4 linked regions of the Drosophila melanogaster genome follow. The protein of the gene in region 4 interacts with the protein of the main gene of each other region in a pairwise test. Each region holds a gene or a part of one and is shown on either strand. Other genes may lie near its edges. The genes, in order: CG3713, CG13084, Hip1 and CG9083.

The links.
Region 1: the proteins of CG9083 (region 4) and CG3713 interact in a two-hybrid assay, tested with the Drosophila melanogaster proteins (one large-scale study listed by BioGRID).
Region 2: the proteins of CG9083 (region 4) and CG13084 interact in a two-hybrid assay, tested with the Drosophila melanogaster proteins (one large-scale study listed by BioGRID).
Region 3: the proteins of CG9083 (region 4) and Hip1 interact in a two-hybrid assay, tested with the Drosophila melanogaster proteins (one large-scale study listed by BioGRID).

Annotation. Positions count from the first base shown.
Region 1 is NC_004354.4:845,640-849,173, reverse strand, and holds CG3713 (uncharacterized protein), read left to right. Parts: upstream 1-2,016; 5' UTR 2,017-2,070; coding exon 2,071-2,322; 3' UTR 2,323-3,003; downstream 3,004-3,534.
Region 2 is NT_033779.5:19,482,924-19,487,060, reverse strand, and holds CG13084 (uncharacterized protein), read right to left. Parts: upstream 2,132-4,137; 5' UTR 2,089-2,131; coding exon 1,164-2,088; intron 1,105-1,163; coding exon 665-1,104; 3' UTR 529-664; downstream 1-528.
Region 3 is NT_037436.4:12,767,875-12,775,491, reverse strand, and holds Hip1 (huntingtin interacting protein 1), read left to right. Parts: upstream 1-1,918; 5' UTR 1,919-2,181; coding exon 2,182-2,217; intron 2,218-2,272; exon of another isoform or gene 2,273-2,748; intron 2,749-2,908; coding exon 2,909-3,330; intron 3,331-3,389; coding exon 3,390-4,120; intron 4,121-4,176; coding exon 4,177-4,286; intron 4,287-4,350; coding exon 4,351-5,097; intron 5,098-5,153; coding exon 5,154-5,589; intron 5,590-5,655; coding exon 5,656-6,060; intron 6,061-6,117; coding exon 6,118-6,605; 3' UTR 6,606-6,930; coding exon of another isoform or gene 6,931-6,981; 3' UTR 6,982-7,060; downstream 7,061-7,617. Other genes in the region: CG32106 (uncharacterized protein), read left to right, coding at 1-36, 97-1,495; Vps13D (vacuolar protein sorting 13D), read right to left, coding at 6,931-6,981, 7,140-7,617.
Region 4 is NT_033778.4:24,896,581-24,900,049, reverse strand, and holds CG9083 (uncharacterized protein), read right to left. Parts: upstream 1,778-3,469; 5' UTR 1,709-1,777; coding exon 1,691-1,708; exon of another isoform or gene 1,623-1,690; coding exon 687-1,622; 3' UTR 545-686; downstream 1-544. Other genes in the region: Tpc2 (thiamine pyrophosphate carrier protein 2), read left to right, coding at 1-517.

The sequences.
Region 1 (3,534 bases), on a different chromosome or scaffold from region 4:
ACTTTGCCGCTCTAAGCTGAGCTGCCTTCGACTTTGCCTAGCTGCTAATTAGTTCAGCCAGGCGGGGATGCTGCAAGTGCCGGCGCAGGTGCAGCAGTCGCCCTTGGCACATTAGACGTAATGAGAAGTCGTCGGCAGCAGTGGTAAAACGCCCCTCTAATGGCTCCGCAGGCAAAACACTTGCAAAGGAAGCTCAAAATTGTATTATTATTACTTTCGCGTGAAACTGTGGAAATAGGCGCTGTGCTGCTTGTACTCCCATTTGGGTTTAAGGTGGAGTAATGGGTATCTGATAGTCGGGGAACTCGACTCCAGCGTTCTCTGTTGGAAAATGGGCCTTTTGCTAAGACATTAAGCATACGCAGAGTAACAAAAACATGTAGTCCTTGCTGGACCTGATTTTTCTCACTGCATGCATGTGGGGGATAGGTTAAAGAGAAAATGGAAATTGCGGGAATGGGAATGGTGAATGGTGAATGGGAGAGGGGAAACGCGCAGTGCAGTGCCGTGGGGCAAACTCAATGCCGGCCCAGGCCTCCCATGTGTGTTTGTGGCAAGTTAATGACACACCTTAACCCATGTTAACCTAGTTTTTCATGTTGTGGTTATTCTTGTCGTGCTTGTTCTTCTTTCCACTTGACCCAAAGCCCAAAAAAAAAAAAGGAGAGTGGTGTGGAGAGGATGTCGGTGCGTATGGGCCTGGCCTTCATGCGGTTGACATGAATTTGACTGTGGCATGATTGGCCTACTTTCTGTCTTTTGCTTGCGCTCTAGGCTTTTTCGCATAAATAAGCTATTTGTGACCAATTTGCATTTTCCGCGTTATATTTCTTAACTGACACAATAAAAAGTTCGAAAGGCGAATGACGGCAGAATAGGAAGAGCTATAGCAAAATCCAACATATAAACAAACAATGCCCAAAGGGCAGCATAGATCTAGGGTAAGATCAGCATAAGAAAAAAATGGAAAAATGGACCGAGTGCGTTTAATTAGTCACATTCCGACATCATAATACCTTTAATAAAGCAACCAACTTAATATTAACAAATGGGGACCATAAAGTGTGAAATGTGGAGCGGGAGTCCTCAAAGGACCTGCGGATGGCAAGCAATGGCCTTCATTTATTTTCCTCAGCCGCAGCTGCTGCTTCTTTCTCAGCTTGTTAAGCATAATTAAAATCACAGAGCGGGATGGAGAGAGGCGCAGAGAGCCAGGGAGGAGAGGGACAGAGCTAGTGAGTAAGTGTGATTAAAAGATTGCAAATTTCTCACTCTTATTCATTTTTTTTAAGCTCTTCTTTCTGGCCAAATTGAATTTTTCGTTGCAGCAGACAGCGAGTGAGTGAGTAGGACAGAGCAGAAATGCATTGAACTGATCAGGGTAGTAACAGCACCATGTAGAATCGAAACTTTATTCACGTTAAATCCCCAATTATGTTGGTCTAAATAATGCTTGGTATTAAATAGTAGTATTCCCTGCAGAGGGCTCAAAAGTGTTTTTTTTTTTTGTTTTTGTGGAACGGAAGCCACCTCGCAATTCGACTTTAATGAGTAAACAGGGCGTGCAGACGCTATGCAAATGCTTTAGTCCCATTGAATTTGATGGCCGCGCATAAATGTAATTATAATGTGCATTCTATACAGCAACAAACATAAATGCATAAGTGCATAAATGCGCGCGCGTGTGTGTGTGGACAGTGGATTACGTAATGCCGATGCAGTGAATACGATATAATGTGCTATGCATAATGCATGATCGCACTCCTTAATCAACGCCAAACAAGCGACATTTAATTTTAATTTTAATTAATTTTGTCATTTGCTTTTTACACCGATGACGATGGATTTACCGGAAAACGAGCGAGTCTGTAATCCATCCATTTTCGAATTCTGCTGTGGACGCAGCTGTGCTGTGGATTGTGGGGCGTGGGGCTTGGAGCGCGGATTTGTGAACGCGTGGATGCCTGGGGCTGTAGAAGTAGTAGGGTAGTATAGTAGTAGGTGGGCCTCCGATATCGTCAGTGCTGCGAAATCAGCTGTCGGGCGAGCACCGCATAATCAGAGGTGGGGATGTTTCTGGGCTTCTTGGTGGATCTGCTGTACTGCCGACGCTGCGGGGACGACTGTATGATGGAATTCCCATCGACTTCCGCGAATGAAGAAGCAGCGCCGAAAGTGGTAAAGGTCGAACTGCCGCCGCTGCCGCCACTGACCTTTGAACTCATCCGCAATCCATTGGCTGCCGACCAGGAGTGCGATGATAGCTTCGAAGGCTTCGTCGATGGTTATGATGATCCCAGGCTGCCGGAAACCATCATCTGATTCAAAAAAAGCTTGCCACTCACTGGCATTCCGCACTCCGCTTCATTTGGTTTAATTAAAACTCTTTTTGCCATAATCCAATTAAGACCAAAGGCAAAAACCAAATGACAACAAATGGCATAATGGCCAGACAACAAAACAGACGGCAAAAAATAGAAAAACTCGACAAACTCAAACAAAGCTCCGCACAAAGCAAAAAAAAAAAAACTGAACAAAACAAAATGCAAACAAACAATGCAATAAAATTCAATTACAACAAAATTTTAATTAACTTTTTGCAATCAAAACACAAACCAAATGAGGAGACAACTGGCATCCGAATTGAAAGCCAATAAAAATGGGCGTAATAACCTAACCAATCTACAGGTCATCGATGGACAGGAGAGGGTTAAACGAATCTGACAAAGGCTGTGTACGTTAGCTTCAAATGGGATAGGATTACTTGAGTGTATCATGTTATGTGTGCAAAAGTTTAAAAATGTATATGCACGCACATATGGTAAATGTTTGGATTCGATTGGGAGCACCAAAGAACCAGGCACAGTTTTCCAAACAATAGAAACTACTCGTAGTCGTGTGCCAACTATCGGATACCTTATAGTCTGTATTAAAGTTTGTTATTGACTTATTTACTCTACGAGTACTGATGGAAATGAGTATAAATATGAAAATATTGTTTGTAAACTGTTAAAATGTTTTATTTCGTTTTGTGGGGCGGTAGGTCGCATTACGTATACGACGCGCAGACCACAGAGTAATACGTTTCTAAAGCAAGTTTGCAGTTGCACTGTTTCATTGTTGACCTATCAATTGGGCTCTTCTTCCGGTCGTAGCATACAGTCAGTGTGAACTCGTTTCTTCCAAAGCAATTCCGAGTCGGATAAGACACAGCTACTGCAGCCCATCAAGATCTGCTTCCATGCTCCTTGCAGCATTGTCCACCCACCCTTTAAGACCTCCTATATATTCACATCTGTATCGCAATCGCGAGAAAGACAACTTTTAGTGCGACATTCGCTGGAAACTTTCAGCAGAGCGGCAAACGACACCTAAACCGACTAATGGGCAAAGTCACCTCCTTTGGCAGTAGTGGCTTCGGGGGTTTACTTCACCCATTGTGAGCCATTTGTTTGCTGGAATTGCATTCGTGGCTGCGAAATAACATTTTCCGTTTCCGTTCTTGTTGCGACTGCGTGCCACATTTGTAAAACT
Region 2 (4,137 bases), on a different chromosome or scaffold from region 4:
AAAATAGGTCTTCGAAGGTAATGATAACGTAACAAATGTTTTCGGGCATACTGTCTATCGTTTACAAGAAATAAAGTAATAAAGCGAACTAAAGTAATTTTGTAAAAGTTTAATAAGTCTATATTTTGTTTCCTATTTCGAAAACAGCAGTATAATTAATTATCCTTCATATTATCATGCCTATTCAAAAATTGGCCAAGATGCCTTTTGCAAATTTAAACAAACTTGGATCCTTTACTATTAACTTTTAAAAAAGCTTAAAATATTTTTAAAATTTGCTTCTATCAACAAACAATAGCATAGGTTAATAGTAAGGTGAATTTATTTACCTACAAAACATACAAAATAACAAAAATTTCTTCGTATATTTTGAATAGATTTTGAGAAAAGTTTTTGGAAATTGAATGTATATTTTCGCATACGATGCTAAAAGTTGATGCATATGATTTCCATGAAACTATAGCATTTTTTCTCAAAAGTTATTTATTAATTACTTGCTAGGAATATAATCAAAAATGTATTTCCTTTGCTTTTTTTTTATTTATTTATAAAACATAAAAATTGTACAAAGTAATGAATCTGAATTAAAAAAAAAGAGTTTGTTAAATGCTTTGAAAAGTTGTATCAGTTTCAGTAACAGTGGTAGTCCCAGTTAAATCTTCCTTTAGTATCCTTGGGGGAGGGAACTGTCTCCATACCAAATCCTGAAGGATTCTCCTGGCTGGATGGGCTGTGGCTTGTAGATCTCCTCATTGTAAGACTGTGGCTCGTGGTGGGGCTTATGAGGTTGCTCGTGGTTAGGTTTGGGACTGTAATCCACAGGAAGCTTGTAGGATTCAGGCTGGTCATGTGGCAAAGGAACATAGGATGCCGGAGTAGGGTGCTCTTTCTTGGGGCACGGCTTGGGCTTGGTAACGGAGGTGGGAACGTGGGCCGGAGCTGGGTTCCATGGCTGATGGTGGTGAACTGGAGCGGACTGGTATGGGGATCCGTACTCCCACGGCACCGTCTGCCGCCAGGACACGGCGCTGGAGCTCTGATAGTTCTTCTTTGGCTCGGGGGACTGGGCATAGGCGGTAGCTTTGTGGTTTCCAGAGTGCTCTCCTATGAACGACAAGCCATTAATTTGTGATCCTAATCTGGTGGCAATAAGGACCACTTACCGTGCTTGGGCTCCTCCTTGATGCTCCACACCTGTTCCAGATCCACTTGCTTGGGCTTAGGATGAGCATGCTGCGGCTCTGGGACCTCAGCTCCGTAGGTGGGAAGATAGGACTCGTCGTGATGGCCATATTGCGGATAGGGCTGTTGTCGGCTGCACTCTTCCAGACCCAGTTCGATGCGTTTCTGCGAGATGATCAGTTCGCGGAGAACAGCCTCCACTTTCCAGGAACTGTGGGGCTGCAAATGCTTGACTGCATCGATTAGGATGTCCAAGCGCTGCTCCTGAGTGCGATTCAGCTGCTTCAATTGATGCTCCAGCACGTTCAGCTTGAAGTTGGAGTTCTCGCTGAGCTCCTTGACTCCGGCCAAGTTCTTCAGCTCCACCTCCACGTTGATTTGGGACGTCTCCAAGCTATCGAAGGTACACTTTAGCCCATTCAATTGTGGCAACACCGTCCTAGTAATAAGTTTGGCCAGTCCGTCGATGCTGTTGTCAATGTTGCGGGAACTATGGAGCACGTGCCTCTGATAGGCATCCAGCTTGGCCTCCAGGACATTGAGTATCTCCTTGGTGCCCTCCTGCAGACGCACCAATTCCAGGAGCTCTGACTCCGTTCGATTGCCGTATTCCTCGCCCTGCCTAGAGAGGTTCTCAAGGGTGGCCACCAGATTGTGGGAGCCAACCTCCAGAACGACAGTCAACTTGGCTAGCAGCTTCTCCACGAGCGTCAGGGCCTTCAGTGCCTCCTTTTGCTCTGCCAAACCGACCTGAGTCTGCTCGCTTACTTGGGCAATCCGGGTCAGGAGCACATTGGCTGCCTGTACGCCCTTCGCATTGTCCTTCAAGAGGTCAGCGATGCTCTCATCCGCTTGGATGCCGCAGAGGCAGGCGCCCAGAAAGAAGAACGTGATCAGTACTTTCATTTCAACTGCAAGTTGTTTTCGACTGGAAACACCAATTGCAAGTGTCTTTTGTTGTCCAAGGGCAGAGCTTAAATATGTTTGCGAACACGTGTGGATTGGAACTAATCTATTTGGGTTTTTTGCTCTTCGTGCTCGCTTCTGCATGGTAATCTGACCAAAAAGGTAAAGTTTGAATTTCGCACGAATTCAAACTTCAAATATTCAGCGCTTTGATTAGGCGGCTATCGATCGATTTTTTTTTGCACAGGAGTCGTTATCGTGCCTATCGACCAATCAGCTGATTGGAGGGAACAAAACAACCTTTTGATTTCGTTTTCTTTGTGGATGGAACTAAACAGTTTTGCTACTCATTTGGCTAAATAAAAGCAGATATGAGCCAACCTGCATCTCCTACCAAGTGGCGCACCTCGGCCAGTGTAATCCTGGTGTCCAGAGATGATGGCAATAACAAAGATTACAAGGAAAGTGAAGAGGCCATTTCCAAAAGCGGATAACCATAATCCTGACCTTTCAGGTGCTTATGCTAAAACGCAGTGATGCCACGGCGATTGCGCTCAATCAGACTGTATTTCCCGGTGGCCTCTTGGACTCTGGGGCCGATGAAAGCGTCGCCTGGCTGCACTACCTCGAGGAGTTTGGTGTTCCACAAGAGGCACTACGCCGCCTGGTTCTCATCCGCGAAGATCGTCCTGCCATTCTGGCGCCCCAGGGCACTGGCTGCTACGATCGGTTCTTTAAGCGTTCCCGCATTTGGGCTCGGTGAGTCCAAAGGTTGCGCTAAACTCTGTCACATTGGGAGTTTAATCTATGACCTTTGTCTTTTTAGGGAGATTACGCTGCGACTAACCGCCGTGAGGGAATGCTTTGAAGAGGTGGGTCTGTTGCTTTGCCGGAGTCGGAGTCAACTGGATTTTGGTGCGGTAACTTGCGCTCAGGCTGTTCCAGACCTGGAGTCGTGGCAGCGAAGGGTGCACAACAAGCCGGCTGAGTTTCTAACTCTCTGCCGCGAGCTAAATGTAGTTCCAGATTTGTGGGCTCTGCATGAGTGGTCTGCCTGGGCGAGTCCAGGATTCATACGCAAAGGGTGGGTATGGGGTCACAAAAAAATCATAAATGAAAGCTTAATTTCTTTGCTTAGTAATCTAAAAAAAGTATGGTAAAGTTCTTGGTTCTAATATAGATTATATTACACTTAATAGGCATGAAACCGTTTTCTTCATGGCTTTTGTGGACAAGCAGCCCGAATTGCTGGAAGAACCTTCCGAGGTCAAGGAAACGCTGGTAAGGTTTATCTTTTAAACCCCAAATTCACAATAAACGAGTTATTTATGTATATAGTGGCTGACACCCGTTGAACTGCTGCGACTGGCTGATTTGGGCAATGTTTGGTTCATGCCACCACAGGTCTACGAATTGTCCCGGTTGATGGGAATTAAGGCGTATCAATCCCTGTTGGAATTTGCCATCAAGCGCAGCGGATTGGGAACGACCATGTTCTTGCCGATTGGTTATAACTGCCAGGGCTCTATGGTTTTCGTCTTACCTGGTATGTTAAAGGAATATTCAGTGTAATATCCAAATCATTTTTTTTAAATAATCATTTACCTTAGGCGATGACTTCTATGTTCCCGAACCTCACTTGGTTCACGAAATAATCAGTTTTCCGGGATCAGAAGAAGAGTTTAGGGCTCGTTCAAAGCATCTGCATCGCTATACCTATGGTCCTGGTGTTCGAAACTTGGAGTTAAATATTGCGCCGCCAAATGGACACTTGAAACCGCTGAAATTTCAGGCGGAGCGCCAAAAGCTGTAATCACATTCCGTAGCTGGACGGGTGGTGACCCCAGCTGCTAAGCTCTGATAAGATGCTAAATGTGAATCCTGAAATGGGGCAGTCACAAATTGGTGTTTTGAAATTATTTTAAGCGGCTTTAGCTGGCCATCAAATTATCACGACGGTGTCTCCTAAGAGCATTAATTATTATTTTATGGGACAATTTTAATTAAAAAATGTACAGTTTAATTTAAAGTTAAGTAAAGGCACTTAGC
Region 3 (7,617 bases), on a different chromosome or scaffold from region 4:
CACTGAAGAATTGGGCATTTCCCAGCCAAAACAATTGTGAGTGTTCTTCTTTTCCGACAATTATGATCTCTTACTTTTAATCCAAACATATTTCAGGAGGAAATTTGGTCTAAACTTCACCAGACTCAATACCAATCAATTTCAAATGGCACCAGCGACTACAAGACACGTTCGACTACAAACCCAGAAAACAAAAAGGACGAAGAATCGAAACTGCAATTCTTCTGTTGGCCAAATGAACGGTGTATTTGTTCTAGCTTCTTCGCCATCTACTAGAACGAATACAGCAGAGCAATCTATTGAAAGGAGAAATAGGAATCTGCAGAATCATCCAGGCGTTTCTGATTCTTTGAGTAACAATCCACCATCCTCAGAAAATAGACGAAAAGCCCCATCCCAAACATCTTACCCAGTACTTAGACGTATTCAAAGAAATGATTCAAACAATTCGCAAGGCGGAAGATTCATTTCGGCCAGCAGCCAATATCCTGACCAGCACAGACAAGATGAATACCTAGCTTGTGATAGAAATAATAGTGACCAAAGCCATCGCGATAGTCATCAAAACGAGGACGGGTCGCATAATTCAGCTATGGTTGGAGCTTCTGGGTATTCTACTGACTTAACTTGGACAGATCCACCTCCGAACTCCCAATTACTAGCTCCCAATACATCGACTGACGTGGAAACACTGGAAACGGTAACCCTAATGCAACCTCGAAAACTTCGTAGTTGTGAAAGTGCTGGGATCAGAAACCAGGCAAATATCAATGGGAACACCGTTCTTATAGAGACAAGAACTCCCTGTAACAGGGAAATTCTACTCCAGACCTGTGGACGACCGCCCTGTAACTCGTGTCCTTATCAATACACGGGTCTTCCTCCGAGTCTCCATCAAGGATTTACGAAGCCACCGGATCATATGCTACAACCGCAGATCTCTGTGAGTGCTCCACAAAATGTCACTCCTTTCGATGAAGGGTACCTTATAGATCCGCGGGATCAGTGGATGCCCACTAAGTCACCAGCTTCAGCACCAGCCGTGCAGCATCAATTTCAAATGAAGGAACAATGTCAGCCGGATCATGGATCCTATCATCATTTTCAGGAATCTGTACATACTTCAGACCCAAGTTCCTCTCAGGCCAGAAACCCTGACTACAATCCTCAACTAAAAGAGAACATTCGAATGCTTCCAGATGGATTCTATGAACGCACCGTGAATAAGTATAATATAACACGCATGGATTCCAACTTCCAGCCACCGGAATTTTCACTGCAGCCAAATTTTGTTCACGGAGAACAGCATCCTACTTTCAGACACCACGCTTGTCCTTATAGCAATCAATATCATCATCCGCAACTGATGATGACATCCGTTCCAGATCCCAATCGACGTTACATTCCACCACAAAACCAATACCCAGCCGAGATGTTTTGGCCACAGCAAAATGTACATTTGGATTACTATGATCAATCGGAATACCAAATTTAATCCAAACAGTTGGAAGAATACATTAAATTAAAATTACTTTAAAAACAAATTAAAATTGTCGTTCTTTTATTTAAAGTAAAAATATGGTAGCAGATCTATAAATATCGAACAAAATCTATCTTTTTAGAAAATCAGTACACAAAAATTTCAAAAACACATTCTAAAGCTTTTTTTTAAACCATCGTATAAAATCAAATTAAATTAAATTTTTAACTTAACTGAAGTTTTATTGAAAGCGTTCGATGTTATAATTTAAATATTGGTTCATTTAAGTGTATTTCAATTCAAATATCCTTCGATTTAATGGAAAAAAATAAAAATTTGCAAAACATTTTTTTTCGCGCTCAAAATGGTGATGCAAGAAGTTGATGACTATCGAAACGAATCGATAGGGTAAAGCCCGCATATCGGAACACCGCCCAGCTCTATTAACTTTTATCGATAAAGGAAAACAACATTTGTTTATATGACTAATTTACTCTTACACTCATTGTTTCATACACGCACACGATCGGAATCCGAATGAATACGAACGCGACCAATACGAAAACAATGGCCAACATTGTTGATAAGATAAGATAACTCCCGTTTCCAATGTCTTTGCTGTCTTTGCTCTAATGCACATATATCGCGCTGCGAATGATTCGAATTTGTTCAGCAAGTACGCCAAGAATTGTCAGTAAACAATGGCAACTCACGCCGAAAAGGAGTTCTACCACCTGGTACGTAAGCCCAAAGGAAAGCCAAGAAAACCGCCAAGAATACCCACAGCAGATTATAGGCACACGGATGTTGTCATATCATGTGCATAGTGTAAATACCTAAATGTTTATGCACACAACTACAGGCGCGCCGCTCAAATATGCATAAACATTTCACTTAAGAAGTCAGCCTTGAACCAGATTATATGGAACAGCTCGAAATATCATCAGCTTTTCACACGACTTGCAACACCACAGAGACTACACTACATGCTAATCCCAAGTTTCTCCGCTTCGGATGACCCAGAAAATTAGAAACTGCAATGAATGCTATGCGGACTACATCCACTTTGATCAATTGTTCAATGTGCACACAAAGGCCTTTCAAATTTTTTGATTATCAACCCAAATTCGGCACGATAAGAAGTGAAATCCAGTATTTAGATTACCTTCTGTTATCATAAATTCATATCAAACACATGGTGTAGGTGTTTGGAATCTTATTTTTAAAAGCATCGAAATGTTTGCACTTCCAAACTAAATAGTCGATCAGTGAGTCACCCCCTTTAGATCGAATTCCACTAAAAAGTATAAAACTATAGATATCGTCCGCCAAAATCCGTCCATATCTTATAAGCTGAGTCAGTCACTTCTTCGAAAGTGTACAACAATAAAAAGCCATTTAAACTATAATATTTACATTTCATTTCAGAACGTCAGCGTGTCCAAAGCTTTAAATGGCCTGGAAGCGCCACTCAAAACCAAACATGCCCGCTCCATTATTATTATGATACACAAGGCCAAAGAGGCCAAAACATTCTGGATGATCATCTCCCGGCAGCCTTTGATGCAGAGTAGATTTACTGCCTGGAAGTTTTCGCATCTGCTGCACAAGGTCCTGCGAGAGGGTCATGAAAGTGCCATCCGCCACTCGCAGAGCCACAAGAAGATGATACTGGAGGTGGGAAAAATGTGGGGCCTGCTGCAGGACGATATTGGATGCTGCATACAGGCGTATAGTAAGCTCTTGGCCACAAAATTAAACTTCCACGACAAAAATCGAATGTTTCCCGGCACCCTGAACATTTCGTTCACGGAACTCTTCATTGCTGTGGATAGGGATTTAAATTATTGGTAAGTAAAAATAGATATATATTACTTTCAAACTACTGAGACAGAACCATTGATTCCAGTTTTCAACTGTGCGTGGAAATTTTCGACTACTTGGAGGATATAATTGCGCTGCAATTGACGATATTTTCATCTATGGAAAAGTACAGAATGTCGTCGATGACACCGCAGGGACAATGTAGATTAGCGCCAATAGTTTGCCTTATCCAGGATTCCAATGCGTTGTACGATTTAAGCGTTCGGTTAATGTTTAAACTACACGATGGTGTACCATACGACGTTGTTTCCGGACACAGAGATCGCTTTCACGGTCTGTTTTTAAAGTTGAAGAGTTTTTACAACAACGTGCGACCGCTTCAGTATTTCAAGGACCTAATAACAATCCCGGAATTGCCGGACTCAAGTCCTAACTTCAAGTCCCAAAACGATTTCACCAGTTATGTACCGCCAGTGGTTCACGTTCCCCAGGAGCCCGATCCGGTTGTTGAAGACCTTGTGGATACCAACAATCACGAGCTGGAAGCCTTCAGTCAAGCCCAGCAGCAGCTTAGCATGTTGGAGGGTATAATCAGCGAGAAAGAGGCTAGCATTGAGGAGCTGTCATTCAAATTGGACGCAATGCAAAAAAATTTCGACGCACTGCAGCAAAGCTACAGACACGACGTTCAGGAGTTGCAACAGAACAATACTGTGCTGTCAAATGATCTGGTCTTGGCGAGAGAAATGTGTGCCACCTTTCGGATGCAAAATGACGATCTTGAGATGCAACTGAATCAGAACCCAATTCTTTTACGTAATTAAATGCTTATTAAACATAATGAAGTCATATAAAAATACCTTGTATTTCAGAAAAAGCTATGGAGGAAGAAGAAAAGCACAAGTTGTCGTCGGAAAAGTTTAATAAACTTAAAACTCTATACACAAAGATTCGAGATGAGCACATTCAGCTGCTGAGAGAGGTATGCAGAAACACAATATTTTCTATTTCCTATACTAATATTCATTCATATACTTTTATATCAGCAAAGTGATTGCAACAAGTCCTTAAATAAAGAGAAACAAGTAAACTCACAACTATTGTTGGAAACTAAGGAGCTTACCAATGAAATTTCCAAAATTAAAGTAAACGTAGAGGAAAAAGAGAAAACAAACTTGATTCTGCAAAAGCAAATCGAAGAGCACAAGGAGAAAATAGCACATCTTGAAGCAGTCAAAAACGAGATGAAGGAGAAATTCGATGATGTGGTTAAACAAAAGGAAATTCAGGAACTCGATATTATTTCCACTTCCGAAAACCTGAGGCTAAATTGCCTCAAAGTCGAAGAGCTTAATGGAAACCTCAATGACACCCTGGAAAAACTGTCGAACGCCGAAAGCCAAATAAATGCAAAGACCGAGGATATCGAGAAAATGCTAAAAGCTTTTGAAGCGGAAAAGGCATTGCTCTTAACTCAGATTGAACAACAGAGTGTTGAAAGTAAAAGCCATAGTGAAGCTCAAAACGCTCAATTGCAAGAAATAATGGATAACTTGGAACAAAAGGATAAAGAGTTCAATGAAGTTAAGCTTCAGCTGTCCAGCGCAGAAAGCCAAATCAGCTTAAAGGCATTGGAAATTCAAAACAATTTAAAGGCATTTGAAGCGGAAAAATCAGTGCTATTAACTAAAATAGAGCAGTTAGGTATAGAGCATAAAAACAACAGCGAAGCACAAAATGCTCAATTGCAGCTAACTTTAAACAACTTGGAGCAAAATGAGAGTGCATTACAGGTAAATGAAACCAATTTAAATCAAGAAAATTATAGAAACTGCTTTTCTTTCTTCAGCAAACCCAGGAAATTGTGAATCAATTGAGGCAGGAAAATGCTTCAGCGGGTCAGCGTAACGAGGATTTGCAAAGCAAACTCTCGCTTACTGAGGTAAAACTAACCCAAGCAACACAGCAAATTGATGCCGTGACAAGTTCGTACCAAATCTGTAGTACCGATTTGAGTGAACTCAGAAAATTGGTGATCAAGACTGTAAAGGAAATATGCAATTCGAAGTTGAGCGGATCGGAACAACAGCCTTTGGATGCGGTGCCAAACATAATACGCGAAATGGAGACCATTTTAAATAAGTTCAATAACGCATCGGCTATAAACTATGTTGCTTCAACCGAAGGACTGCAAAATGTTATGTATCTGGGTTATGTATTTATAAAACTATACGATCAATGTGATGTTATCTACAAAACAACAACTGCAATTGAGACAGGTCAGGGTAAGTTGATAACACTAAAAACATAACCACCTACAGCAAACTAACTTTGTATTACTTATTTTGCAGAAATTTTCTCAAAAACAAATTTGTTATGTACCGATATCTGTCAATTGTTCCAATACTTATTAAATAATGAAACAAAAGAACCCGAGAGACAGAAAACAATCACTGATATACAAACAAAGCTGAGAGATATTGAAAAGCTGATTGAGAAAATAAAGGCATCATTTGAACAGAAGATTGATTTAGATAAGCTGCTCGAAATCGAGCTTCGCGAGATGGACGCTGCGATTGATGATGCAGCCTCCAAAATTACAGATCTACTGGCAAAGGCTCGAGAGAAGGACAACCAAACCAATTTAGAGGTAAACGGAAAAATAGTGGATGCGTGTACCACCTTGATGGAATGTGTCAAAGCTCTAATCCAAAAATCTCGTCTCCTGCAACACGAAATCGTGGCTTCCCAAAAAGGTAGCTAACAATATTTTTTAATTCAATGAAGTTACTGACAAGTAATTACTCTTTCAGGAAATGCGAGTGCTAATGAGTTTTATAGGCGGAACAGTCAGTGGTCAGATGGTTTGATATCCGCCTCGAAAAGTGTGGCGAAGGCAGCCAACTATCTGGTGGAAGCTGCAAACAAGGCTATTGAAAGTGAATCTGGCAAGAACTTTGAACTCATTGTGGCTGCCCAAGAAATTGCTGCCTGCACGACCCAAATGGTTATTGCGAGCAAAGTCAAGGCTGAACGTAATAGTCAAAAGCTAACCGACCTCACAAAAGCCTCGCGAAGCGTAACGCAGGCAACAGGAACTCTGGTCGCCACCGTGAAGGATTGCAACTCCCAGCTGGAGCAGCAGAGTGAAATAGAACTTTCTAAGCTAACGCCATCACAGATTAAAACGATGGAAATGGAAATTCATGTTAAAGTACTCGAAATCGAACAAGCTCTCCAAATGCAACGACTAAAACTCTCATCGTTTCGTAAGGAGCATTACAAGAATGCCGATTATTAAATACCATATTTATTAATGTTACTAACTTTACAAACATTCTTTTTTGTATTAATGCCCGTCATGACAAATAATATATCTACACAATATTTACACTGCGGTCATTTTATCCTACAATGAATCCGTAATATCTGTTTATAGTATTCCGTGTCGATCGCTTTTTGATCCTTGATTTATATCACACCATAGTATGTGGGTTCATTATTTCTTAAATGTTTATTTTACTTACTACTTGAAATTAAAATAGCACTTATTGCCAAAGAAAATAAAATGTAACATTTGTTGTCAAAAGGTTTTTGTTTATTATCACGAACCGACCTATTGCATTTTATAAAACGGCATGTTCACGTTCATCAAAGACACTTTTAGCGTAGTTTATCTAAAAGAAAAAGACAAGTATGGAATATATGTGATAATCATTTCAAAATTTGTAAAAGTAAATAAATTATATGATAAACAAAGTCTGCGCTTCAACAATAATAGTTTATTATTGAAAGATAATTTCTACTAATTTCTGCTAAGATGATTTCTACTTACGCATCTTGATGCTGCCTCAGCACATTCCTCGGAACGACACCGTATCCTGGGCCTGGTAATCTTTGGAAGATTGGTTGATATCTCGATGTAGTGACTGGCCGACGCCCTGCTGCTCGTGGTTGGCGTTGTGCCGGCATTCGTTACCACTGGATGGCACGAAAGAATCTCACTAACATGACATTCAAACATAATGGTTGGATTGGCGTCGCTTAGTGAAAAGATTCGTACGTATTCTGTAGAAACCAGCAAGCGCAATCTAGCCTCCTTGTCGCTCCATAGATTGGGTTCATATGAAATTATCTTCTCCGAAAAGTTCTTTTGATTGATTAGGTACAGATATTGCTGCCCCTTGCTTTGGCGATTGGAATACAATGGCAAAAGACCACCAGGAGCACCAGTCACACATCTGGGTAGCCTTTTCCTTTCCGGAGCGTTTCTGTGACTATCTCGGCTTGTTTCACGAACGGCACTGGCAGTT
Region 4 (3,469 bases):
CACTTTTACCGGACTTCGAAAGGTCTATAAGATGGAGGGGTGGATGGGACTTTCCCGAGGACTACCCTTCACGCTTGTGCAGGTGTTTCCGCTGGTAGGGGCAAACTTTCTCTTCTACAAGTACCTCAACGCGGCTGTCTTGATGGCCAAGCCTCCCGACCAGCGCCAGGAAATCCACGGCGCATTTCTGTTTCTCAATGGGGCGCTGTCAGGGGTGTTGGCCAAGATGATCGTGTACCCGGCGGACCTGCTTAAAAAGCGCATCCAGCTGATGGCCTTCAAACAGGAACGTAAGACCTTTGGTCGCAACCCCGAGTGCCCTACGATCCTGGGCTGCATCACCACCACGTTTCGGGAGGAAGGAATCGGAGGCTTCTATAAGGGAATGTTGCCTACTCTACTCAAGGCAGGACTGATGAGTGCCGTGTACTTCTCCATCTATGACATGTTTAAGCGCCACTATATAGCTCCGATGAAAGAGGCGGAGAAAAATCGGCAAAAACTGGGCAAGCATTAGGTAAATCACATACTGGGCGGCTGGCTTAAATTATTACACTAACATGGTTTATTTTGTACACCAGTATCTTGGGAGAATGTGTGGAATATGGATGAGCGAACATGTCAAATATAAGTTAAACGTGAACAGTAGACTAGACGACCAGATGGCCAACGACGGACATTGCCGTCTACTTCCAGTTTGAACTGGATCCTGCCCAGCCGCCTGAGGCCGGCGCTGAGTAGCTGTATCCGTCGCCACCGCCGCCGGAAGACCCGCCGTAGGAGCCACCGCTGCCTGAAGCAGCGGCTGCAGCCACCACTTGTGTATCATAGCTGGATCCGCCGCCACTGCTATAGCCACCGCCATGTCCACTGCTGTATCCTCCAGAGCTGTAGGACGAGCCGCTGCTGTAGGAGGAGGCTCCGCTGTAAGAGGATCCACCAGAATATCCACCATCGTAGCCCCCGGAGGAGCCACCACTGTATCCACCGGAGGATCCGCCGCCGTATCCGCCGGAAGAGCCATGTGAATCTCCAGCCGCAGCAGCAGCCACAATCACCTGGGTGTCATGACCTCCTCCGCTGTGACCGCCACCGCTGTAGCCGCCGTATCCTCCGCTGCCACCATGATCAGAGGAGTCTGAGCTGGCGGCGATGGCTGCAATGTTGGCGATGGCATGGCCACCATAACCTCCGCCGTGTCCGCCGCTGCCTCCATGTCCGCCATGTCCGTGATCGGAGGACGAGCCAGCAGCAGCAGCGATGGCAGCAATCTTGGCATCATCATGACCGGAACTATATCCGCCGGAGCTGTATCCGTGGCCACCTCCACCGCCTCCGCCACCCCCGGAACTGTATCCGTGGTTCTCGGTGATAACAGCATAGGTGTTCACATGACCACCGCCTCCTCCACCGCCGCTGTATCCGCCATCGTGGGAGTGAATCTCATAGCCTCCACCTCCATGGCCGCCAAAATCACCGCCTCCGTGGCCGCCAAAATCACCGCCTCCGTGGCCGCCGTGATCCCCACCGCTCTCTGGCAGGTGAATACGGATGTGGACATGCTCTCGTCCGAAGGTGGGCTTTCCCCATACCGCTGGGCTAGCCAGCAGAAGCGCACTGATCTGGGAGTGGGAGGAGGGAATCTGTGTTAGGATCCACCTGAACTGACGTGGTGTCGTGCCAAACTCACTATGAAACGGGCTGCCATTTCTCTGGATTCGTTACGAAGGACTCTCGAATGATTGCTCGCCTCTGGACCGACTGGAAATGATTCGGCAAACATGGGCACACGCCGTTTTATAGCCCTCTTCTCCACTCGGGAGCCATGCGGTTATATAAGCGATCGCTTGCCGCTGAGCAAGTGCAGAGATAATCTCTTTCGCCGACGACGAGCTGAATGAAGTGGAGCCAGACCACTGGAGACTTCACGACCGCGACCCATTGAAGGCCAACTGGCCGCGTCTTCGTCTTCGTCTTCTTCTCGGCCATCCAGTCTTCACTCTCCCTTTCTGAAGATCGCGAGAGTGTTGACCTTTCACATCATCATCCCCAGCATGTGCCCAATTGCAATACCACACGGATAACGTAAAAAAGGGTCTGTGACTCAAAATTATTTTAAATCCCATGGTGTGATGCCAACTTAAGTGTATCAATCATCTTTGGTTTTCCATTTTCAATATTTTACATGATAAACAAAACCGGTTTCGTAGACCAATTTAAGATCGCTAAAAGATATCTTAAATTCCTTTTGCTATATTTACGTAAGAAAATCATATTTTACGAAAGCAGCTTGGATACTGCATAAAAATGTTTTTCTAAATCTAAGACTTTTATTTTGTAATTGTAATACACGGATTCTCCCAGTGCACTAACACACTCTCTCGAGGAGCATTCGCTTCTGTGCTCTACTTTCTTTCGAGAGAAAATCTGAGTGGCCCTAAGCTTCGTGGGCTGGCGGCCGAAAATAGCTAAAACCGAAACTCAAACTGTGGTAATATGCAACTTGACCAGTTCCAGTTTTGGCCCAGAGCTCGTTGCTATTGCTACTTTATCACATCGCCGATGCTGGTTGTTAACCGTTAGGTATTTTGTTGACGTTCATGTTTATGGATTTTTATGTAGATACGACGAACTTCCTATTGGCAATTCCTTATTGTTGGTCCAGACTTGCATAACGATTGGCCAAGGGTTGGCCGGGTTGGCTGCTGCCCGCTGGCTGCTCACTGTCGCTAGTCATTAACCCATTGATGGCCGTACCAGTGCCGGAAATTATCAATATAATTTTGTTTACCAACGCGAAGCAGTGGTGCCGCGGCTGTGAGGCAGGGAAGGAGCCAGTTACTGTTCTTTGGATTGGGCCAGGTCAGGTCGCCGTTTGGCGAGAGGCTCTCGAGCGCTATTGGGTTAAGCCTCGCCTGCAGCAACATCAAAAATATCTTGTCATGCCCCCGCGCTGCAACATGGGCAAAAGGCAACGCGCCGTGGGTTTTGTTCGCGCTTACATCAGCAAGATGTCCGACTGGCAGCGGAGAGAGGTCATGGCCACTGGCCACCCAACACCTCCAACTCACCCACCCACCAATCTGGACGCCCCAACAACCCCCGCCGCCATGCTTTCGCCGTTGATTAGCCACTGTTTTCATTAGCAGTGAGTGACTTGGGCCGAGCCAGCGAATCGGGGCCATCCGGCCATTTCGATTACGTCGCTGATTATCATTTCTCATCTGGCAGCTACGGAGCTAGGCAGCTGACTGCTCGCTCGGCAGATTCCATCACTGCCGAATAATTAATATACATTTAAACTGTTTCGGATTGTAAACAAAGCGGGCTTACATAAGGAACTAGCTGGGAGCAGCAAGCGGGACACCGACGCAATAATCTGTTGCCAATAAAGCCACATCGCCGGTCATAATCACGATGCTGTGCCGAATGAAGTTCGAACTGGAAGCCGCTGAGCTGGAGCAAATGG